Linked DNA regions of Lonchura striata. The protein of the gene in region 1 purifies or fractionates together with the protein of each later gene. This does not show direct contact. Links are inferred from orthologs where the notes say so. Each region holds a gene or a part of one and is shown on either strand. Other genes may lie near its edges.

What was found. The genes of interacting proteins can lie anywhere in the genome.
Region 2: the proteins of ESR2 (region 1) and MRPS9 purify together in Homo sapiens (affinity purification with mass spectrometry; 3 studies listed by BioGRID and IntAct, with this or other methods). This does not show direct contact. The link is inferred for Lonchura striata from reciprocal best matches to the Homo sapiens genes ESR2 and MRPS9.
Region 3: the proteins of ESR2 (region 1) and COPG2 purify together in Homo sapiens (affinity purification with mass spectrometry; 3 studies listed by BioGRID and IntAct, with this or other methods). This does not show direct contact. The link is inferred for Lonchura striata from reciprocal best matches to the Homo sapiens genes ESR2 and COPG2.

What each region holds. Positions count from the first base shown.
Region 1 is NC_134608.1:7,192,086-7,200,143, reverse strand, and holds the start of ESR2 (estrogen receptor beta), read left to right. Parts: upstream 1-4,237; 5' UTR 4,238-4,576; coding exon 4,577-4,591; intron 4,592-5,767; coding exon 5,768-6,240; intron 6,241-8,058.
Region 2 is NC_134604.1:89,078,158-89,086,285, reverse strand, and holds the start of MRPS9 (small ribosomal subunit protein uS9m), read right to left. Parts: upstream 3,387-8,128; 5' UTR 3,378-3,386; coding exon 3,312-3,377; intron 1-3,311.
Region 3 is NC_134607.1:71,935,384-71,943,425, reverse strand, and holds the start of COPG2 (coatomer subunit gamma-2), read right to left. Parts: upstream 3,387-8,042; 5' UTR 3,313-3,386; coding exon 3,276-3,312; intron 1,267-3,275; coding exon 1,214-1,266; intron 651-1,213; coding exon 570-650; intron 289-569; coding exon 217-288; intron 1-216. UniProt on the Homo sapiens protein: The coatomer is a cytosolic protein complex that binds to dilysine motifs and reversibly associates with Golgi non-clathrin-coated vesicles, which further mediate biosynthetic protein transport from the ER, via the Golgi up to the trans Golgi network.

The DNA.
Region 1 (8,058 bases):
CTGGGGGGATTGAAATTAGGTGATCTTCAAGGTCCCTTCCAACCCAAACCATTCACAGACTCAATTACATTTCTGTGAATACACTTTTTGCAAATGACCAGAAGGAAATGGAGTGGAGGAAGTAACATGTACATTTGTTCTAGGACACTGTCATTAAGAGAGAAATCTTGAAGGAAGGCTTGAATTAATTAATTTAAAAAATTAATTCCTCCTGGATCCAAGGAGCAGGTGTATTCCATGCTGTTGGGACAGAGCTGTGGTGTGGAAATCAAAACAAGAATAATTTTTTTAGAATTAGCTTCCCTAATTGGTATGTGCTGAGAGATCCAAGTGTGCTTCAGAGATGCTGGATGCAGATGGTCATCCCATATCTGTGAAAATCTAAATCCCCATGCTGCTCTTTCCTGCCATTTCTTGCATCAGAGGAGATACTTTTTTCTTTTTTAATAATTAAATTCTTGCTGGAAAAGGGTGCTATCCTTTGTACTGGCTTCTGCCATGATACTGTTGCAGATTGAAGCATGATCACAAAATACTCAGATCCTTGTATTTATAACTTGTGTAATAGTTTAAACAGATGTCTCTTTTCTAATGGAACACACTAAAATTTTCATCATGAAATACAAATATTCTTTTGGACCAAAAACTCCACACAGTACTTTGAAATAGTTACATGGAGAGTAAAGGAGCTGAAGTGTCTCGTTTTGCATTTGTATTCTGGAGCAGGACAGTGGCTTTTCATTTCTGGTGTCTGAAACCCTAAAGTCTATGAAACATACCTAAGAGATGCAAATAATAGAAAGCTTAAATCCACTCTCAGATCTGGTAACATTTTAATGGTCCACAAATTTAAAGGCTAAAAACTAGTAAAGTCAAACTTAAATTTAGTTTGAACTGAGATCTGAAAATATTTTTTAGTAATGGGAAGGGAGATCTAGAGAGCAACTAATCAAGCATCCTGCTCAAAGTGAGTATTTTTAAAAATCTTTCAAAGATAGGGATTTCACAGCCTTTCTGGGTATCCTGTTCCTGGACTGAATTCTCACTGTGGAGAATTTTTCCCATGTTCTACTGGGATTTCCCTTGCTCTGGCATGTGGCTGTGATCTCCTGACTTGCGCACTTTCCGTAAAAAGAGTCTGGATTCCTTGTGTTTGTAACTCCACTTTAAAGGGTAGAAGACCAAAGTTGTTTACTCCTCTAGTGGAACAAATCCAGTTCCTTTGGTGCCCCCATGTCAGATCCATTGAGCTCTGAAATGTATTTATGAATGTTTAGAATAATCTACAAGTTGCCAGTATTCTGAGTAACTTAAAGGCTAGCATAGACTAAAGAGTGCTCATTTTGCTTGTTTCAAAGTACTTTTTCCTGTGTGATTTTGAGCTGCACGATTTTATTTAGAGTAATTCTTGATGTCATTGGGGGCAGGTTATTAATTTTGGAGGAATGAGTACAATATCTGAAGTTTGGACAGATAGCTGTGTTTGCATTTTGCTTCCCTATCTGTCCCCTACTTGTTGCATCCAGTGCTTCTCAGGTAATAATAAACTTGTTTACTTGCCTGCCTTCTGTTGGCAATATCTGGCCCTGCTGTGTTTAATGAGTAATAAGTTTGTCACAAAACCTGAAGCACAAGTATCATACGCATCAGGAATGACTTTCTTTTAATAATCACTTTTCCAGGAGATGATTCAGTTTATTGTTGCAGGGAGTTGTGTAAAATGTAACTTAACAGAATATTAATAGAATGCTCTGTGAGATAACTGAGGATCTTTGGCTGTGGGGTGGTGGAATGCAACACTTGCTGAATCACCTCCATTAAACCCAAAGGCTCAATGATTGCACTTTAGTCTAAGCTTAGCAGAGAAAAAGGTCATCTTGATTCTCTACTGCAAAAAATGTTTACTCTAAATATATATAAAATGCTAAGCACGTTGTAGTGTATGTTGATGGAAGAGTGCCTGAGAACATGCATCACTCCTTGCTTTTTGAAGTGTTGTACTTTTCTAGGAAAAGCTATTGTATTGTGTTCCCAAGCAGCCACCCTACCCTCTCTACCTATTTTTCCCCTTTCCAAAACTAACAAAAAAACCACCAAACAATCAAACAAACATAAAACTAAGAAAAAAAAAACCTAATTAGTTTTCTTTTTCCCCACAAGGCTTTTAAAGAGGTATTTGGTATAGGTAATGTGCAATAAGAGGCTTTCAAGTTTGTTGAAATACGTCAGATGGCTTAATTATTTACCCATGTGTCTGACTGTGACATCTAAACCAGTCCTTGTGCCTCACCTGGCATGCCTTGCATGGTGACTTGAGATACATTCAGTTGTAGAGTTATTCAAAGACAAAAAACCTATTTTTTTTTGTTTTGGTCCTTTTTTTTTGTTGTTGTTGATTTTGGGTTTTTTTTGGTTGTGTTGGTTTTTTCTGTTTGTTTGTTTTTGTTTGGTTTTTGTTTTTTGTTTTTGTTTTTTTGGTGGAGAACATTAATAACATTTGTTTTTTCCTGACCTCCTCATGGATAGTGGTGCCATCCTCAGGGTACTGGAGCTGATGAAGCTGCTTTGTGTCAGAAGTGAATCCTGCCTGTAGTGTCTTAGATTTGTGAATGGTAAGTGTTACTCGAGGAACTGGCCAGAATGGCTGTTGTTTACTTAATAATGGCATTTCAGTTGTTGAATATCTCACTAAGCTAAACTGACTTCAGTGGATTAAAATATTTGCAGGCTCCAAGGAGACTGGAATATAAAAATAATAGACACCTGTTTTGTTTCTGTGTTTGGTACAGATCTAGTGAAGAGCTGACAGACTGCATCTAAATAATGTATTTTATCATTGAATCTTGCTTTTAAAATCTTTTTTCAGAGGAAGAGGGAGTGTTGGGACAGAAGTTCACTTTAGGAAGTAGTTAATTTCTGTTTAGTGAGTAGTGTTTAAGATATGAGGACATTATACCAGGATGGAACAAATTTACTAGCCTATTTCACTACTTATTGTAATCCTTGTATTAAATGTGGTTGTGCTTCCTTCTGAGGTGTTTGTGGAGTTTTCCTCAAGTCTCAGACCTTGAGATCTGTTTCCCTCAGTCTTCAGTTCTTTAAGAGACACAACTTCACAGACCAGCAGCCAATCTTGAGGACTTTCTGAGCAGTTTCATTTTAAATTGTGTGGGTGTGAAGAAATGTGATCAATGAGATCTCATGCAGATCCATAGTCTACTGTGCCTGGACTATTTCTGTTACCCAAGCTAATAATCTCAAATCAATACTGTTATTTTTTCACTACATTACAGCCTGCTGAAGACCATGAGTGCAGTTTTCTTTAACCTGCTGGACCCCAGAGTCTCCTTTTTTTGTAAATAATTTATAAGCAGTTTTTCAGGAAGGCTGTACTTACTTCTTATGCTTGTGTGAACTCTTCCCCTAAAACAAGCTTCACTCTTGCTGCTGGTAACTTCTGTGAACGTTTCTAAATGCTGTGGAGACAATATCTCCTCTGCTAAGCACACGCACATTAGTGGATTTTCTTTGTAGAAAAACATGACTCAAATCTCAGCTGATTCCTGTTCATAAAATTCCATAGTAGCAGCTCTGTGTTCTCCCTGCTTCTACAGCATGCAGGCGTTTATTTGCTAAATCAATTTTTCAGTTTTGGCACAGCAGAATGTCTCTAGCTGACTGTAACACAGATGTTGCTGTGATGCTGCTCAGGTCCTTCCCTCCAAAGGATTTGGGGTTCCCCTGTGCTGTGTGCCCTTCCAAAGGAGGCAGAGGGACAAAGTAAGCACAGACAGCTTTTGTTGGGCATTCCAGATTCTCTGGCAGAATTTGGAATTGCCCATGCTCATCCTGGATACCTGCAGCCTCTGAGACTGCAAGGGGAATACAGCTTTGCTTATAGTGACTCTTTAAATGTGTGCTGAATCCAGTGAGCTCATTGGGCTCACTCATAGTAACTCCTGAAAATACTCCTATATTTTTTTTTTTTTGTTCCATCATTTCCTTCTAAGAAATGACCCACCCCCTAATCTGGGAGTGAAAGCACCTTTTGAGTTTATCAGTGGTTTTTTTGCAGTGAAGTTTGTACGATGCCTGGTTTTTCCTGGAGGAGGCTGTGAAGCATCTGGTGGGGGCAGATGAAGTGTGTGGGGCGAGGTCAGAATCCCCTGCTTTGACTGCTCTGGAGTTCCAGTCCAAGAACTGCTGGACACAAACAGCTGCTGAGATGTCTCATTTTCCTGTTTCCCACAAAGGAAAAAACAGCAGCTGGGTTTAAAATGCCTGAGCTGATTTAAATGAGTTTCTGGTTATTTCTACACATATCTTCAGTTTCATCACCAGAGTGCAGAGTGAGGAGGGAGGAAGGACTCCCAACTGTCCATTTTAGTCAAAAAGACTATTTCTTACATTTCTGTTAATGCTTCTACTCTGTCCTCACCCTAAAGGAGAAAAATGTATCAATACTCTAAGGTGGCACAATAGAAATGCCATGGGGCTGAGAGCTTTGGGGACAGGGAGGTTGCTGGTACTTCAACAAACCCATGCTTGACTCTTCCTCATCTTGCTTTATGGTCATATGAGGCAAAAAAAGGTAAGAACATTTAGCATCTATACCTTTACCAGTTGTGTAATAGCAAAGCAGTGGGTGAATGTTTAGTTATCCTGTGGTTTCTCATGTTAGGATCTTATTAGCACATGCAAAAGTACATTGTAATATCAGTTCAGGGGGCTGAAAGCTGCTGTTTTGGATACAGAATTGTTCTGAATTGCAAACTAGGTCTGTCTTCAGAGCTGGAATGAACTGCAGATGAAACTCCTAGTGAAGAATAAAGAAAAAATGTTTTTAATGCTACAGTACAATAATGCTTCTAGGACAGGGGTCTGTCTCAGGAGGATAATATTGGAAGGTTTTTTGGTTTTTTTTCTCTCTTAAATAATTTGTATATGCCTAAATCTGGCAAAGAGTAATTACTGTGGGCAATTGAGAAAGGGCAGGGGTAGTTGGGATGAGGATGAAGAGTTGCTAGGACTTATGAAACTTCTGGACCTTATGAAATCACTCGAGTTTTGTTGTCAGCTTTGGAAATACCTGCGTTTTATGACTTCTACTTTTATAATGGCTCTGTTCAGAGCTGCCATGCCCAGGAACCTCTCAGAGATGAATCTGCACCTTGCTGACATCCACTGCATAGAGGGATGTGCAGTGGAGTTCTGGAATTGGAATGTGTAGGGGGGGGATATGCATGTGTGTGTGTCTATTTTCAAAATATCTGCTGCTGCGTGTTTGTGATGGAAAAGGGAAGCACCCTGAAGTACAAGGCTGAAAACTGTAGTGCAGTTAACAACAGGAGATGGTGAGTTGTTGTAAAGAGAATTGATTTCTCCTCTATAGCTGTGGACCTTGGGGTAATTTTATCTCCGATAGAGTGCAGATTTACCCCGGTTGTAACTCCTGGTAAGATCCAAGTTGTCACCTTCATCTTTGTTTCAAGCAGACCTCAAATAGTTTTGTTCTTAAAATTATTATTTTTTAAGGGAGTCTGAACTCAGCGTGTGTTTTAGCTTTTATTTTTAAGGATATTCTAGAAAGCTTTCTTTTTCTTAAAGGTTGTAAATTTGTGCATTGACTATTTAAGTGCATTTTATATGTAATCTGTTTTCACAAGATGTTATCTGGTTTACTGGTTCCTTTTTTCTTTTATAGAAAAGACTTAATGCAGAGCTTTTTTATTTTTTAATTATTTTTTTTTATTCTTTATTGTCTTAGGATGAATATTTAAACAGCGTTCTTCAATCTTGCTTCAAAATGTCCCTGTGCACATCTTCTCACAAGGACTTTTCTCAGTTGCTTCCACTTCAGGATATTGGATGCAATAAGACAGAAATTAAAAACTCACCTGCTGGTGTCATCTCTCCAGTCCCTTACAACTGCAACCAGTCCACGCTGACAGCAGAGCACAGCCCACTCTACATTCCCTCATCCTTCATGGAAAACAGGCACGAATATTCCACCGTGGCGTTCTGCAGCCCCGCTATGGTCAATTACAACATTGGCAGCAATTTTGGGGACGCGGAGGGCGTGACGGCGAGGCAAACCTCCAGCCCCAGCGCCCTGTGGGCTGCTCCTGGCCACCTGTCCCCCCTGAGCCTGCACTGCCAGTCCTCCCTGCTGTACCCAGAGCAGCCCAAGAGCCTCTGGTGCGAGGCTCGCCCCATGGAGCCAGTGCTGCCCGGGAGCAGGTCAGTGCTGCTTCTTGCTTTCAGACTTGCCCGGGTATTATTTACAGCTTCCTTAGCTCAACTCTTTTCTTTTTGCATTCAAATTAAAGTGTTGGTCCCTCTGAAAAACAAAACGACGCAAAAAGTAACTCCGCTAGACACTAAATCACTCAGGGAGTGTGTGTGTTTGTTTTTAATGTAACTTCTAAAATTAGGGGTTTTTTTCCAATACCTCCTTAGAGTACTATACACCAACACAGAGCATTACAAATATCTTCAGTGTGGGAGCAGTTTACATTGTGCAAATAAAAGTCCAAGACAGCTAAGTACTATTTTGTGTAACAAAATTAATTCTGCTCTGTCAGATTAAGTCATTTGAGTGAAAGAGGGAAATACTAATTCTTTTTGCCTTTTCATATAATATTGAGTTAATTTTTACCCAGATTTTTTTTTTTTTTTTACTGCTTCTAAGAGATGTGAAGGCTTTTTGTTAACTTGAAATCCAAGGGAAATGTTTTCTTTGATTTTTGGCTTTAGTATAAGCAGTCACACAGCAGCATGCAGGACATTAAAAGGGGGCTGCTGCTGAAAAAGCCTGACTTTGTTTCTTGCTGCTGCTCCCAACTAACTCCATAAAATTATTGTGAAGAGCAGAGTCACAGGCTAAATTTGCAGCTGACAAGAAAGTCTGTTTGCAAAAGCACATTCTTGTTCTGCACGTTTACTCATATTGCAAACCCAAATCAGCATCTGGATCATCAGCTGATGAAATTGCTCCATTCTTGGGCACAACACTAGCTGGGTGGATAAAAGCTCGGAGTCTGCAGGTGCTGTTCCTGCTTCAGCAGCTGTATGTTTATTCATAGGCCTCCTTATTTAACTTCAGCAGTCATTTGGAGTATGAAAAATAGTGTGTCCTGTAACAGTTTAAGTTCAATAGTTAATAAAGGATTTGTGCTATTTTTGAGACTACCCACACTCCTTCTGCAATGGGTGGGCTTTATGGAGTGCAAATGTGCTTTCAGTGTAGGTGTGTGGATTGGGAAAGACTCTTTGGGTAGCACTTACATACAGAAGAATTCCCCGAGCAGCTTTGATGTGAACAGGGGTAATCCAAACTCTTTTCACTTTGGTTAAGGTTCCAAAACTTAGACAGCCCTGGGAAGGTTAGGGTTTGAAGCTGTCCAGATGTTGGAATAGCAGCTGGAATAACCCAGGAGCAAGAGCACCCTGTCTGATGCTCTGCAGTGCCCACTCTACAACAGACAGAAGGGAAGCCAAACCTGTCCCACTGGAGTTTAAATAAATAATCATCAGCTATTTGTATGGATATATAAGGACTATTTCTCATGCAGCTGATGATGACCTAACTTAAAGAGAATAAAGAAATTCTGGAGTATAATCTCTTTTTCACAGAATGGTTTGAATTGAAAGGTGTCTTAAAAACCATCTAGTTCCAACCCCTCTGCCATGGACAGGGACATTTTCCCCTGGACCACGTTGCTCAGAGTAGAAGGATGACGAGGAGAAAATCAGTGATTTATTACTTTAAGTGAAACCTTAATTCCTTTTTAGAAAGCTAGTATTTGTATATAGAAACCACCATCATAAAATAGAGAGGAATACTAGGAGGTGTAAAGTGATAAATCTTTCACTATGTGGTTCCTCGGTAGCCACCAGGATACATCCCCTGTTTTCCTGCATCCTTTGGTGCAGGAGCATGGTGGGCATCCATCCAACCATTTCCAGCTCACCTGCAGAACCTGGCAGCTCATTCCTGTGCTGAGCATCCTGGGTTCCCCTGTCCTACAGCTGGGACGTGGTCTCTACCCATATGTG
Region 2 (8,128 bases), on another chromosome or scaffold:
CTGTATTTACTCATCCTGTTAATTTTGCTTCACTGGAGTTACACAGATATAAACCAAACCAATAAACAGGGAAGTCAAGCTTCCTGTACTTTTGTATTGGGAGGAAAGGTGGACTGGAGTCAGGAGATTTAAACTGAAGCCCGAAAGTTGTTCATTTTACAACAAGACACAGTAATAGAGACGGAAGATGACACCCCATGACATGGCACATATAGTGTTGCACCATTTTCATGATTCTTCCATGCCCTAAACTAGCAGACTTCAACCACCTCCTTTTCAAAACCCATGTAGTACACAAACAAATTTGTACCAAGAAGTTGGGGTACAAGTTGGGGTAGGACTTCACTAAGGACTTCACTACGTGGAATGAGCTGTATAACCACATCACTATGCACTAAAGCTGCCCAGTGTCCAATACTCCAGCTTCTGGCACAGCTGATGCTCCTGAACCCAGCAGACATGCAAGCAGTCCTCTGTTTACTTGTTGCACAAGAAAAATAATTTTTTACATAGCAATTATACAGAATATAAATGCTCAGAGCCATCCCAATTTCTAAAGAATTGCTTTTTCCTCAATAAGCAAGTTTTGGATTTCTAGAGTACTGTTTCACAAATATGTGTTTTAATTGATTTATTTAAAACAACACTGATATAATCTTAGATTTTAGTTAGCCTACAATCTAATTATATAAACCAGTATCAGATGGATGTCTCAGAAGCATTTTGCAAAGCACATCAGAAAGCATCACAAGATGTCAACAAATATGCATAAGTGATTTTATGTTATTTTTTATACCTGATTTCACAAAGTATTTCGTCAGAAGATTTTTTTTTCAAAATTAAGTCCCTTGGCAAGTAACCATAGAACAGTATCTCACCTGCTCAGAAAATCTGCTTTCTTTAAAGAAGATTTTAACCATGTTTAAAAAAATCTACATATTAAATTTTGCTATACAGCGGGGAAGAAAAAATAGCTCTTAAATGCATCAATGCTGTATATAACAGGGAACAGAATTCAGATCTAGTTGTTTTTAGGCTCAAGTTTTCAGGTACTAAGAGGCTTTTCAGTTGTATCTTAGTTAACAACTGCAAAAAAGGCTTCTCTTACAGTAAAAGTATGTATTTCTGAAAGTCTGTCACCAAAGTACCATAATCTCTTTCTGATATTGGTACATATAACATCCACGGTGATTTAGATAAAGTACTCAAACCAGTCAAATTAAATAGGAACTCTGAACTCTTCTGCTGAGACTAGCTATTCAATCACATCAGAGTGAATGATAGAATAGCTATCTAACTAAGCTAGATCATTTTTTCTTTATAAATAGTACTACATCTCTGTTGTTTGCTTTCTGGAAGAATAGGAAACTACATTTGTTGCTCAGGGAACTGCAATTACAAAGTTCCTCTTCCATTTTGCCTTTCAGTGCAAGAAACTTTAAAGTTAAGAAATAAAACATTTTCTCCCACAAAGACAAACAAGAAGTAATGACCTAAACAACTGCAAGACATTTGGAGGATAAGCATCATAAAACAGTCAGGACAGGTAAGCGTTTAATGTAAGAAATTGTTATAGCAGGTCAGAACATGGATACATCAACTTATACACTGCCCATATGAGAGGCACAAGGACAAGACAAACAGGTAGTGATAATTTTCCCAGGGCATTTGCCTGGTTTCCAGCAATCTGTACTTCAGGCATGCCACTATCTTCTTTTTTAAGTGCTCAGTGAATGTTCTTCCAAGTTTCTCAACTTGATTTTTGTATTCACATAAATGCTTACCATCCTGAACATTCTCAGCAAACAGTTCCACAAGTTAACTACACCAAACGGACAAAAGAGTCTCTAAGGTTTCTGGGCTCTGTCTCCCATTAGTTCTCTTCACATTCTTTGGTTCACAGACAGCTAGACAATTTGTGTATAGCCACAGGCTTAGGTACTGATCCCCTCTCTAGGGCTGAGAGGAATAGATAAATGATCCCTCAAGGCCCCTTCCAGTCCCACCTTTCTCTGTGACTCCTCCTTTGAGAACATTCTCTCATTTACAATACAAATCTTAAAACTTAAGGACGTGCCTCGCCAGGAAAACCAAGTTACTATCATAATCATACTTTTGACACAAGACAACCAAAGCAACACAGACTATTCCAACTGAGAATGAAAACAAGTATTAGAATATTTTCAGCTTTATTCTCTTTGTTATTCCTTGCACACCTTAAGAGCATGTATTCCTGATTGCTGCATAAAGAACTACCCACATGGGCACCAGGTCTTTATCCCTAATGGGTAAAGTTAATCTAAATGTAACCAATATAAATAGCTCAAATTGCTCCTTCCGGTATTACATTTCATTTTCTTACTGTGTCTTTCTTCTGTTACCCCATGGCTTGGTTTAGTTCAGTCACCAACAGTTCTTCAGCCCATATTATCCTAAATTACTTTGTAACTTGAAAGCATTACCAGCAGGCCTTTTTATCCACTTGCTGGTCACTGATTAAATATATATACAGGTGTATCAAATACCATTGTACAAACAATACTGACAGCAGCTAAGCTTTTTAATTAAATGGCAATCAGCTGAACGCCCCTACCCCCCAAAACAAAATGATTCTGTTTAATCAGAAGTTACCTCACTTGTGGAGCACGTTTCTCTCTCCACTGCAGGTATTCAGAGACTTGTCCTGTGCAACCCGGTCTAGGGGAACATGCCCCTGCCCATGGCACTAGGGGTGTTCTTCAAGGCCCTTTCCAACCCTAATCTTTCTGTGATTTTGTGCCTCGTGATCTACTCACCTGCTGACCGAATATAATTTACAGAATCCCAGCATTATCAGGGTTGGAAGAGATCTCTGGAGGTGATCCAGTCCAACCCCCCTGCAAGGCAAGGTCACCAGGAGCAGGTAACACAGGAATGCTTCCAGGGGGGTCTGGAAGGTCCCCGGGGAGGGGACCCCAGTCCCTACCAACATCAACGTAAAGTTCTTCTTCACGTTGAGGTGGAACTTCTCGTGTTTCAGCTTACTATTCAAAATTATCAACCTAAAACCTGCCATCTTTTACGCTGGCTTTGCTCTGTATGTCACTCTATTAATTCCAGGCTTAACCAAGCGTCTTCCTCTTCACATCAAGGGAAACAAACACAGCTCACGGAAACTTGAACGCGGCGCCAGCCCTCCCCATTCCCCACGCAGGGCTGCCTCAGCCCCGCCGGCCCAGGGGCAGGGGCAGCGCCGCACCGGGGCCGTGTCGCCGCTTGGGGCCGTGCCCGGCGGGGCCATGCCCGCCCCTCACCGCCCGCCCGGCTCTCACCTGCGCGCGCGGCCCCGCGCCCCCGCGGCGGCACAGCCGCAGCACGCGCCCCGCGGCCGCCGCCATCACCGCGGCGCTCCCCGCCCATTGGCGGGCGGGGCCGGGGGCGGGGCCGCGGCTGCGCGCTGCCGCCCCGGCGGAGCCTGCGGCCGCCGTCCGGGGCCGGCGCCGGCTTTGGCTCGGCGGCGCCTCGGCGTTCCTGAAATCCTGCCCCGACGGGAGGCCGGTGGCTTTTATACCTGGGGTTACATTCACGGTGGCCACCAGGTCAGCAGGAGACCCCCGGCGCGGCCTCCTGTCTCGGAAGGACAGCGCTGAAAGCGGGACTCCGAGTACGGAGCGCTGGGACTTGCAGTGCGTCTGGGGCAGCAGCGCTGCTCTGGAGATTTGTACCAAAAAACAGATTTCACCTTGTTTGGATTTTTCCCATGGGGAAAAAGAAATCAAGGAATTGCAGAATCAATTATGTTGGAAAAGACCTCTGAGGCCAGCGGGTCCAACCCGTGGCAGTCACCGCCTTGTCAGCTAAACCATGGCACAACGCCACGTCCAGTCTCCTTAAACACCTCCAGAGACGGCGACTCCGACACCACCGCGGACAGCCCATTCCAATGTCTAATCACCTGTTCTGTGAAGAAACTAATGTCCTCTTGTCCTGTCGCTGGTTGCTTGGGAGAAGAGACTGACCCCCACCTAGCTACAGCCTCCTTTCAGGCGGTTGTAGAGAGTGAGAGGGTTCCCCCTGAGCAGCCTCTCCTCCAGGCTGAACAGCCCCAGCCCCCGCAGGTGCCTCTCATAGGATTTGTGCTCCAGACTTTTCACCAGCTCTGTTGCCTTTCTCTGGATGACATATTTTAGACACAGAGAAGTTATCTCTTACTGAGGGGGGGTTGATGTCAATCCTGTCATCTCCCAAGGTGATGACAATGTCTCTGGATACTGAACCTTGGAATTTGAGAATGTTGCTAGTTGCTCTGAGTTACATGGGATATACATTTATAGGTAACTGGATTTTGTCAGTAGTTTTTTCTACATGGGAGTAGTGGAAATTAATTAAAAAACTGAATTTAAGAAGCTTTTCTTTAGACTTACAGGGACCTTCTTTTTAAGAGGAGTTACTATTTCAGAGGAAATTCTGGAAATAAATCTCTGCTTTTCCAGGTTTATTTTTTTGTTAAGTTTTTCATGGGTCGCCATTGCTTCCCCCATGCAGATGAAAGTATGATTTCCTCTCTGGGTTATAAAAGAGGTTATAAGAAAACTGGCCTTGGCAAAGGAAGTCATCCATGTGGGGAGGTGAAGGAGGAGCTGCCTGGAAAGGTGCATTCATTCTTGCAGTTGCCAGCTGTGAAAGTGAAAAAATCAGCAGTTTTACTGACATGGATACATTGCAAATGATTGCCATGAGCACTGCACTGAAGGAGAGCAGTGAAGTGTCTCTCCTGTGCACACCTGGCCAAGCGCTGGGAACTGCAGCCACGCTTTGCATCACAGGGTATGTTGGGATGGCATTTAGTTGCTAACTGTTTCTCAGAAGAGAAAAAGGGGAGTTGGTTCAGGGTCACAGTCCCACTGACCCACCTCCTGGAGCAGCCAGCAGAGCTGAAGGGGTGGAGAATGCCAGTGATGAGTATGGCCTCTTCACGGCCTATGGTGAATCCCATCTGCCATCTGTCGCCCTGCAGCTTGGCTTTGTTCAGCAGCAGAGGAGCCCTTCAGTCCTCACTGTGCTCAGCAATTGTTACTTCTCACCCCTGGCAGCTCTACAGAAACAAAGCACCACTGGAGTGAATGGGTTTTATTCCCCACATATAATTAATCACCAATTAAGCTAGAGGAGCAGGCCACCTATAAAATATTGCCCACTTATTCTTGGTAACTAGTTGATGTAAATACAACTTCCTTGATTTCCTACATTTTTCTAATCCTATGCTCACCATGGAAAAAAATCCTAAATGCATTTGCAATCTGGAGCATGATTTCAAAGACATTGGGGTTCATACATGGTTTCAACTGGAGGTTACAGAATTGCTCTTGCACATTGCTAAATAGAGACTGTGGTGTATATGAAGTCCAGCAATTAAGGGCTATGTTATGTTTCTCTTTGATCATTAGAGCTGTCAGCCCTTAGAAACTGATGGCTGCCCCTTCAAGGTGGAAGATTTTTGCACAAATTTCAGGTGTATTTCCCAACAATCCTGCTTCTGCCAAAGAGTTTGCTTGTGCTTGCTTGCCCCTAGGAGACACTTGTACAGAGATCCCTGAGTGACCATTTTCTAGACTGATCAGGAGTGCATGTAGTTATTATTTGGGATTTTTGAAGGAAATGTACTTCTGTGGTAGGCATGGCTAGCATGTTCCAGAAAGATTCCTACTAATGGAAAGATTCTGCTTCTGCTTGGGTGGCTGGGGTCTGCATTTGCCAGTTCAAAATCAGTTTTTAGCACAAATGAAAGTAAGATAAAAATGAGCGGAGTTTATTTACATGCTCAACCACCTGCACCCCATCCCTCTGTGAAAATTTGTTACGGCAGGGGTGAAGGGAAATGCAAGAAAACCATGTTTAATCTATTTATCCCAAGATTAACTCCAAAGGGCTTCTCTTTCTGTCTCTGTGTTTACTTGACAGACTGTAGATGCTTACCTAATCCATGCAAACTACCCCAATGCTTCACTAAGCCCTCTGAGGAACTTTAGTCACTTGGTGGCAGGGATGTCCTTCTTGAGCCCAGCTGGGCAATGTTCTACTCTGGGGACCTGTTTCAATTGTGAGCCTGATTACCCTTGTCCTTGTGTAACCTGCTATTCATGCTCTGTTCAATCACAGAACTGGGGACTGCTGCCTGCAGCACATTACCTGCTTTTGTTTTTAGACTTAGATAATGAGGGGTAAGCATATCATTTGGGACTATTCAAAGCTTTGGGGTGCCGTCTTTGAGGATGGCCTGACATAAAGAAAAGGTTGCCTCTGTGTGGGGCTTGAGGTTTCTGAAGTGAAAAATTACTGAAAGCAGAATAAGGAAACCAGGCTGAGCCTGTCAAGTGCATGGGTTGGGGACAGATGGAGGGGTATATCTGTAGTATATGCAAATTCTTGAGCACAAGCCTAGGGTTGAGCTCTAACCCAAAGTTGCTGATTGCTTATGTTACCAGCCTACATGCAGACAATCCTGAAATGAGATCTGGGGTGGTTTTTTGTAATCAGAGATGGGATTGGTAGATAGCATGAGTTCAGGCTATTAGTATGGGTAGTGTGAAAACCAGTTGCTTGAGGAACAGGTATCCCAGTGGCAGTGCTGGAGATGTATGGCTCTCCAGCTCACTGCCTCATTGAAGCAGTCTGAAAATTGACAAGGATCTGGGGCAGCCTAAAGGTCCATTGAGCCTGATGGCTTCACTCTGTCAGTGACAGGTGCTTACAGAATCACAGAATATGTTGAGTTGGAAGGGACACATCAGAATCATCAAGTCCAACCCTGGTCCTCCAGAGGACCATTGCCAAGAGTCACACCAAGTGCCTGAGAGCATTGTCCAAATGCTTTTTGAACTGTCAGGCTTGGTGCTGTGACCACTTCCCTGGGGAGCCTGTTCCAGTGCCCAGCAGCCCTAAGGGGAAGAACCTCTTCCTAATAATCAACCTAACATTCCTCTGGCGCAGCTTCCCTCCAATCTTGTCACTGGTCACCAGAGAGAAGAGATCAGTGCCTGCCCCTCCTCGTCCTCTCACAAGGAAGTTGTAGAATGTGTATAAAGACAGGGTAGATATACAGAGCAAAAGTCTCATTGGTAATGAGATGAAGAGTGTATTTTAGGCTTAGATAGGAAAAAACCCACAGAGGAGAAGAGGTCAGAACTTAATGAAGCAAGATCTGCTGCCTTACAACAGAACAAGATAACCTGCAGCAGACATGAGGGACTCCATCCATCAGAAGCAAAAGCAAATAGTTGTAGGAGGGTTAAAGTTTTGCAGGATGCCCTAATCCAAATCCATTTCCACAGAGATGCCTAAATTTTTATGTTTTCCCTAAACAAAATAAAAGAGTAGATTTGTTTCGGAATTCTGAACTAAAGTTATTCTTCTTGTAAAGTGTTTTCTGTTCTCTTTCCCCTGTGCCTTTCTTCTTTATGCTGTAAGTACTTTGGCTGAAGTTCTGGGGCACATGTGCTAAAAGGGACAGCAAGCAACAGGGGCTGACTAAGTGACAAAAATCTCAGGATGTTACAGTATCCACATGCATAGGACACTTCTCAGAGCCTAACTAGGAGCACTTGCTGGATTATCTTCGTGCCAAGGGAAGTTTACGAACACCCACATCCAGTGTTGAACAAAAAATTGGAGATTTTGTCTAAGGAGAGCACTAGACAAGAGTGCCTTGACAGAAAGCTTTGTGTTTCAGAAGCTGATCAGTATGTGTTTGAACAAAAAAAAACCAAACAAAATGAATTCAAAAATGCAGACAATTCAGGTGTATTTTAACTCTGTTCCAGTTAAGTAATTTCCAGATACTTTATGACATGTATGTGCTTTTTGACACAGAAATTGTTTTGCATTGATCTTCCTCATCACTATTGAAAGGCTTGAGGCTGATATATCCAGAAGTCATGTTTCTTTAATGCAAACATATAAATTCTATTTTAAAAGACTAATAACAACAGCTATTTCATTGCACCTACTTTTCTTCCGATGTGGAACGAGCACATTTCATTTCATAGACTGCATACACCAGCTACCTAAGGGTTGTCAATTACGTTACGCTATAAAAGGCACAGCACTTAGGGGGCTGTCAGTCAATTCTGTAGTGAGAGAGATTTCAAGC
Region 3 (8,042 bases), on another chromosome or scaffold:
CTTTTACAGCAGGAATTCACTCAGAACCCACCTCCACCCCCAACCCACCCCACAGAACAACCACAGGTTATTATCCACTCCTCTGTTTCCAAAGCTGGAACTGCCTCCAGAGCTCCTCCTGTGCACTGCTTGCCTCCCACATCCCAAATTCCAAAGGTTTGGCAGCTCCTGCAAGCCCAGGCAGAAGCAGGGAGAGGCAAAGCACCAGGTCCTTACGTCGTTAGACTGAAACAACCTGGTCATGGCAAAAAAAGCTTCCGTGGCTTCCGTGGTTCCGAAGTGTTCACCCTGGAATTGGCAGAGAGGAAAAGCAGGAATTATCCAGCTCCTTTTGCTAATGCCCTCCCACACAGCAGGAATCTCTCCTTGGAGACTTTCTCCTGTAAGAAACCATCCTTGCATTCCCAGGGAATTCACAATTCTCTCCACTCTAAATGCCCTCCACAGGGATGGAAGCTTCCCAAGGTGTTTTCCTTGTGGAAAACTTCTTTCCCTCTAAAAAGATTATATATTTCCCACTAAAACATTATTAAAATTCATTCTGGATGGAGAGAAATCCTAACAGTTACCTGGTTCAGCAGGTAGAGGATCTTGGTAAGGATGTGGAGGCATCTTCGTGGGTTTATTGGGGTTTCATTGAAGAGCCGTGCCTGGAAATGAAACAAATTCTGCTTGAATAGATCCCAATAATAATAACAATTTTATTATTATTTCTCTTTCAACATCAAAATTAAATGAATCTGTTTCCAGATGAGCAGCTTGTAATATGTATTTGTATTAAATATGAGTCTCAGAGAATGTGCAGAATTAAATGAATGTTTCCAGCTGAGCAGCTTGTAATTTTTATTTCTATTAAATATGTGTCCCAGAGAATGTGTTCTTGCATCTTTCGTTTGCAGCAATCTGAACAAAGCACAAACAACTCAATTTGCCATCTGGAACAGGCAAAAATGCCTGAAAATAAAACATTTTTTGTCCAGGAAGAGCCCCCTGAGATGCCACATGTCCATATGGAAGGCAGAAGCCACGTGTCATCTAATTATCCTAAAAAAAACCCTCATTAACTGCAGATAAAATTAATTTATTTACACTCTCTGTGATTTTTATTTAATTCTATGAATTTAGCCATCCACATTTCCCCACAATCATTCTGCAACGCTTCCTGAAGGAAAAGATCATTAATGAAATGGCATTATCCTGTGATTACTCCTACCTCCTGAAGCACAGCACTCTTCTCCAGATGCTGGAAAGGATTGGAGCCACTCCCTGAGGAAAAAAAAGAGACCTCTCAGTTGAGGAAAAAAAATTAATTCCTCACACATCCCAACTGGTCTGGACAGGCAGGAACACCCCCAAAATTTTACCAAACCACCTCAAACCAGTGATGTTCCTCTCTGAATAATTGATGTTGGCCATCAACAGCTTTAAATCCACTTTCTTAAGTGATATATTCAGAGTTATAGAAAGAAGGTAAAAAATAAAAAAAAAAAGGAGAGGAAGAAGAAAACTGTTATTTAAAATGCCTTTTATATACTTAATATTTTTAATACCTAAATGGCCTTTACATAGAACTAATTCCTTTTTCTACTTTCCTAATGTACCTGTTTTTATTCCTTCAGGCACCAAAAGCAGAGATGCAGATCAGGATGTGAAAAAAAACTTTTCAGCCACATTAGTCCCACCCACAGCCTCACTTCTGCTCCCGATCCTCTCCTCCCAAACAGGAATTCCTCATTTCCAGTTCACTTAAATAATGTTTTGTAACCAAACAAAAAAGTCCACATTACAAACTCCAAATAATTAGCTATTAAATTAAAAGTAAAAATAATTTAAATATAATTTCTTAATTAAATAATTTAACCTTAAAAAAACCTTACCTAAAAAAAAAACAATTAATCATTTTATAACTTATTAATAAAATATCATAAAACTCACAACTTATAATATCAATGTAAGTCCCTGGTGTGAATTCCAGATACGCAGGCACAGCTCAGACAGAGAAAGTTTGGAAAGGCTCCTCTGAAACATTTTGGATTTTGCTTTGTGCAGCAAAATGACTAAAAAGAGAGGTTTCTTTTCTTTCCATACATCAGCTCACCGTTCAGGGTTAGGGTTATTATTTAGGGTTTATTATATAAATACATAGGGTATGTGTGTTATTATGTTATATAGGTTTAGTATATGTATATAAACACATGTAATCAACTCTCCTTTTTTTGAGGGATGAAACATCTGCACTGAGCAGAGACAGGGATAAAATCCTCTCTAAAAATCATCTGTGGATAAAGGGAGAGCAAACAGACCCCAATTCCTCTGGATTTGTCACCAGAGGGGAGAAATATTTCGGCAGTCAGTTCTTACAGCTGAAACACAAATACCCCACGAGCTGTGAGAGATCACAGACCCACGGGATGGCTCGGAAGGAGATTTAAGGATCATTCACTTCCACCTCCTGTCATCAGCAGGGACACCTTCCACTATCCCAGCCCGCTCCAGCCTGCTCTTGGCCACTTCCAGGGATCCAGGGGCAGCCACAGCTGCTCTGGGAATTCTATTTCACCTCAGCATCCCTCTCCACTTCAGCCATTCCCTCACCCCTCAGCCATTCCTTCCCCTCAGCCTCTCCCTCAGCATCTCACTCACCCCTCAGCCTCTCCCTCACCTCAGCATCCCCTCAGCATCTCCCTCACACCTCAGCATTTCCCTCACCTCAGCCATTCCCTTACCCCTCAGCATCCCCTTAGCAATTCCCTCACCTCAGCATCCCCTTAGCAATTCCCTCACCTCAGCACCCCCTTAGCAATTCCCTCACCTCAGCATCCCCTTAGCAATTCCCTCACCCCTCAGCCTCTCCCTCACCCCTCAGCAATTCCCTCCCCCAGCATCTCCCTGCCCTCAGCATCCCCCTCCCCTCAACTCAGCCTCTCCCTCACCTCAGCCATTGCCTCACCCCTCAGCATCTCCCTCACCCCTCAGCCTCTCCCTCACCCCAGCTCAGCCTCCCCTCACCTCAGCATCTCCCTCAAACCCCTCAGCATCTCCCTCACCTCAGCCATTCCCTTAGCAATTCCCTCACCTCAATATCTCCCTCACCCCTCAGCATCTCCCTGCCCCCAGCTCAGCCTCCCCTCAGCTCAGCATCTCCCTCACCTCTCTCATCTCCACCCCGCTGTCACCTCGGCATCCCCCTCACCTCTTCCCCCGCTGTCACCCCAGCACACCTCAGCCCTCTCCTCGCCCCAGCACCGCTCTCCTCACCCCCAGCCCCCCCGTACCGGACTCCTCGTCCTTTTTATCGAACTTCTTGATCATGGCGGCCCCGCTCCCTCCGAGCGCCGCCGCCTCAGCTGCCCCGCCGGAAGCCCCGCCCCACCCCGATCTCTGGCACCTGATTGGATAGCCCCGCTGTCAATCAAACTCAAGCCAAGCCACGCCCCCACCCGCGCGCTGAAAGGGCGGGGCCAGAGCGAGGGCGCGTCTTAAAGGAGCCGCGTCGTTATTTTGTGAGGGGAGCGAGGTTGCGCTGGCGGGCGGAGAGAGAAATTAATGAATAAATGAATAAATGAATAAATATAAACTATCTGCGCTCCTGGCTGAGAAACAGGGACTCGTGTGGGGTTTACAAGGAATTTCCATTGAATTCACATGGAATTCACATCGAATTTACACCGAATTTCCATGGAATTCACATGGAATTTCCATGGAATTCACACGGAATTTACATCAAATTCACACGGAATTTCCATTGAATTCATATGGAATTTCCTTCAAATTCACACCGAATTTCCATTGATTTTTGCACTGAATTTCCATCAGATTCTCACGGAATTTCCATTGAATTCACACGGAATTCACATCAAATTCACACTGAATTTCCATCGAATTCACACTGAATTTCCATCAAATTCACACGGAATCCACATCAAATTCACACCGAATTAACAGAGTTGTATTAATTTTTATGTGAGATTGAAAATGGAATAAAAGTTCTTAAAATGCTTTTTAGTGGTCTCATTTTGGGGTTAGAAATGGGTATATTCTGATAAATTTATTTTGGAATTATTCCTCTTCCTGCAGGTGGCTGAGATTACAAAACCAAGGTGAGGTGTTGTTTTGTGTGAGGAAAAACAGGTTTTTTTTGGAGTATAATAATAAGGGTTTTTTTGAGTAGAATAAAAAGGTTTTTTGGAGTATAATGTTGTGTTTGGTATTTTTTTTTTAAGAGTGTCAGTGATCTTTTAAAGGGTTTTTTGAGGTTAAAATGTTAAAATTCTAGGAGATTTGATGGTGTTCAAATGAGATGTATTATATATTATATTAAATATTATATATAGCACTTATTACATGCATTATTATAATATATAACGTTTTCTATATTGCAATATATTAAATGTTGTGTTTATGATATTGTTTAGTATAAGTTATATTTTATTACATAGTATTATTTATTAAATGTGTTATATATTATATACTATGTATAACGTTAGATATATTACATATTGCAATATATTATGTAATGTGATAAAATGTGATATAATGTAATGTAATGTAATGCAATGTAATATAATATAATATAACATAATATGATATAATACATAATATAATGTGATATGATATAATGTGATGTGATGTGATGTGATATAATATAATGTGATGTGATATAATTAATATAATATAATATAATATAATATAATATAATATAATATGTAATACAATGTAATGTAATGTAATATAATATAACATAATATGATATAATATTATATTATATAATATAATGTGATATTATATAATATGATACGATATTATATTATTAGAATAGAATAGAATAGAATAGAATAGAATAGAATAATTTTATTACTTTATATTATTTTATATTTTACTTTTTATGATTTAATTTTATTTATTATTTATTATATATTATTTAATATTTATCATTTAATACTTATTATTTTTATTTATTATTATTATATTTCCCATTTCATTAGCCTCTCCGCTGAGATTACTCTCTCCTTCCTCAACACTTTACAACCCCCCCAAAAACCTGGGGCACAACAGAACCACCAAAACCCCCAATTTTAGACCCCCAACCTTTTTTTTAACCCGGGAACCTCCGGGATTGGCTTTTCCACGGCTGGGCAGCAGGAGCAGGCCATTTACCCCAGGATTTATCCCCCCAGGACAACGAGGGAAAATCAAACCCCCGCCAGGGATTCTTCCCCAAATTTCCTCCCACCTCCAGAAGCTCAAAGCTCTTTTTGCCACGCTCCCAACTCTGCATTTTCCACTTGGATTTTCCTCATCTCAGCCAGCTGCCGGCACAGGAACTGCTCCCAAACCAAATCTCAAAGCAAATCCCACAAACAAGTTTTTCCTGCAGTTTTTCTCCCTCCGGAACAACTTCAAGCGCTTGTAGAGGTCGAGGAGAACAGCGCAGCTTTAATTCCAAGGGGAATATTTGGATTTTATTTCCAAGTTTTCCCAGTGATTTAGCACGGATTCAAGACCCCCAGCCTATCATAACTCACAGCAGAGCCAAGTGGAATTTGATTATTGCTGACTTTAAAGATAAGCTTTAAAAAGGAAAGATAAACTTTCACCGTGAAAGTAAACTTTCAAAAGGAAAAATAAAATTTAAAAGGGTTTCCCCAGCTGACTGGAATTAATTCTAGAAAGCGGAAAAGGAACCAAATCCCACGTGATGGACATTTATTTATTCCTAGAAAGTGAGGGTGGAAAATCTTCCCTCTTCCTTCTCGCCCCTCAGAGAATGCAAAAAGGTCCAAATTCACTTTTGTTTTTTTTTTTTTTCAGGAGAATCCCTCTGGGAATGTTATTTACAGGGAAAAGGGGACGTGTCCAAACCTCCAGCTGGAATTTTCACAACCTCACGTTTGGCTCAGTGCTCTTCCGTCCTCGAATAATTTAATCGCAATTTTCACAACCTCACGTTTGGCTCAGTGCTCTTCCATCCTCAAATAATTGAATCGCAATTTTCACAACCTCACGTTTGGCTCAGTGCTCTTCCGTCCTCGAATAATTTAATCGCAATTTTCACAACCTCACGTTTAGCTCAGTGCTCTTCCATCCTCGAATAATTTAATCGTAATTTTCACAACCTCACGTTTGGCTCAGTGCTCTTCCGTCCTCGAATAATTGAATTGCAATTTTCACAACCTCACGTTTGGCTCAGTGCTCTTCCATCCTCGAATAATTGAATCGCAATTTTCACAACCTCACGTTTGGCTCAGTGCTCTTCCGTCCTCGAATAATTGAATTGGCTCAAATAAAAGCTCGGGACCAAAATCTGCTCATTCTCTTTGGGAAAAAGCTGATTCTCAAAAACATCTGAGAACTGGAAGTCCCCAAACCAGATGCCGAGACCTTGAGCGACCCTGTGGCCAAAATCCCCCGGCGTGGTTTCACAGCTGGCTTTCCCCTCGCACCGAAAAGGAGCTGAAGTTCCAAAAAATCCCGCCGGAGATCCCCCGAGGTGGCCACAGCTCCTCTGGCTTCCTCAGCTGTGGGGTCACGCTTCTGCCACCCCAGCAGGGACACATTTCCCTTGGAAAGTTCTGGAAAGGTTGGAGTCGCTCCAGGCCGAGCTCATAAATGCAGCAGTGGCTCCTTCCCACCACCTCGTTTTTACCGATTCTGACAAATTTCAGCCAAAAAAGGAAAATTTTGGTGGTAAAACCGTAGCAAGTGTTACATGCGGTGTGTTTTAGCTTTTATGAGTGCGTGACGTTGATGGCAATGCTTAGCATTGGATCTCCTCCTTCTCCTCTTCTTCTCCTCCTTCTTCTCCTTCTCTCCTTTTCTTTCTCCTTCTCCTCCTCCTCCTCCTTCTCCTCCTCCTTCTCCTCCTCCTCCTTCTCCTTCTTCTCCTCCTTCTCCTCCTCCTCTCCTTCTCCTTCTCCTCCTCCTCCTTCTCTCCTTCTCTTTCCCCTTCTCCTCCTCCTCCTCTCCTTTTTCTCCTTCTCCTTCTCCTCTCCTTCTTCTTCTCCTTCTCCTCCTTTTCTCCTTTTTCTCCTTCTCCTTCTCTCCTTCTCCTTCTCCCTCTCCTTCTCAATTTCCTCCTCCTCCTCCTTCTCTCCTTTTCCTTCTCCATTTCCTCCTCCTCCTCCTTCTCTCCTTTTTCTCCTTCTCTCCTTTTTCTCCTTCTCTTCTCCTCCTCCTTTTCCTTCTCCTTCTTTTCTCCTTCTCCTTCTCCTCCTCCTCCTTCTCTCCTTCTCCCTCTCCTTCTCCTTTCCTATTCCTCCATCTCTCTTTTTTCTCCTTCTCCTTCTCCTTCTCCTTCTCCTTCTCCTCCTCCTTTCTCCTCCTCCTTTCTCCTTCTCCTCCTTCTCCTCCTTGTCCTCCTCCTCTCATAAAAAAAAAACAAAAAAACTCATAATTCCCATAACACAAAATGTTACCATAGGATTTTTTTCCTTTCTCCATCCCTCTTCATTTCCAAGGTGTGGGACTCAGATTCAAAGGAAGAAACAGAGTTTCTAGCCAGGCAGAAACCTGGGAAAGTGCTGGGAAAGAATGCAAATAATTCTTTATTTCTCTTGTTTTTCACATTGTTTATAGTGAATTTCTATCACTGTGCGTCAAGCACTTTGCACCAATGCTTTGGGTTGTTTTCATTTCAGAACCAATGGAGTTGGTCCTCACAAAGCTCTGTATAAAGAGCAGTGTATTTTGAATAAATCGGAGTTTTACTCTCACAGCCTTCTGGTCAGAGTCTTCTCATTCCCATCCTGCCTCGACAGCGACACCAAGGCAATATTTTGACTTTTCCAGGTGCCTCCAAGCACAACGCGCAGCGCTGCTTTGGGACAGAATCCAGGCCCAGCAACTGCTTCTTGCTGCATTAATAGTAGGTAATTAAAATGGAAGTAATGAACCTGATGGGAAACCATCCCAGGCTGCCAACCTGAGCTTTACGAACTATTTTTTGGGATTGTTTTCCCCGAGCACATGGAATTATCAGGGATGAATCACAAATACTTCTGAGAAGACGAACTCACGGCCTGAGCACGTTTTGTGCGCTCTGT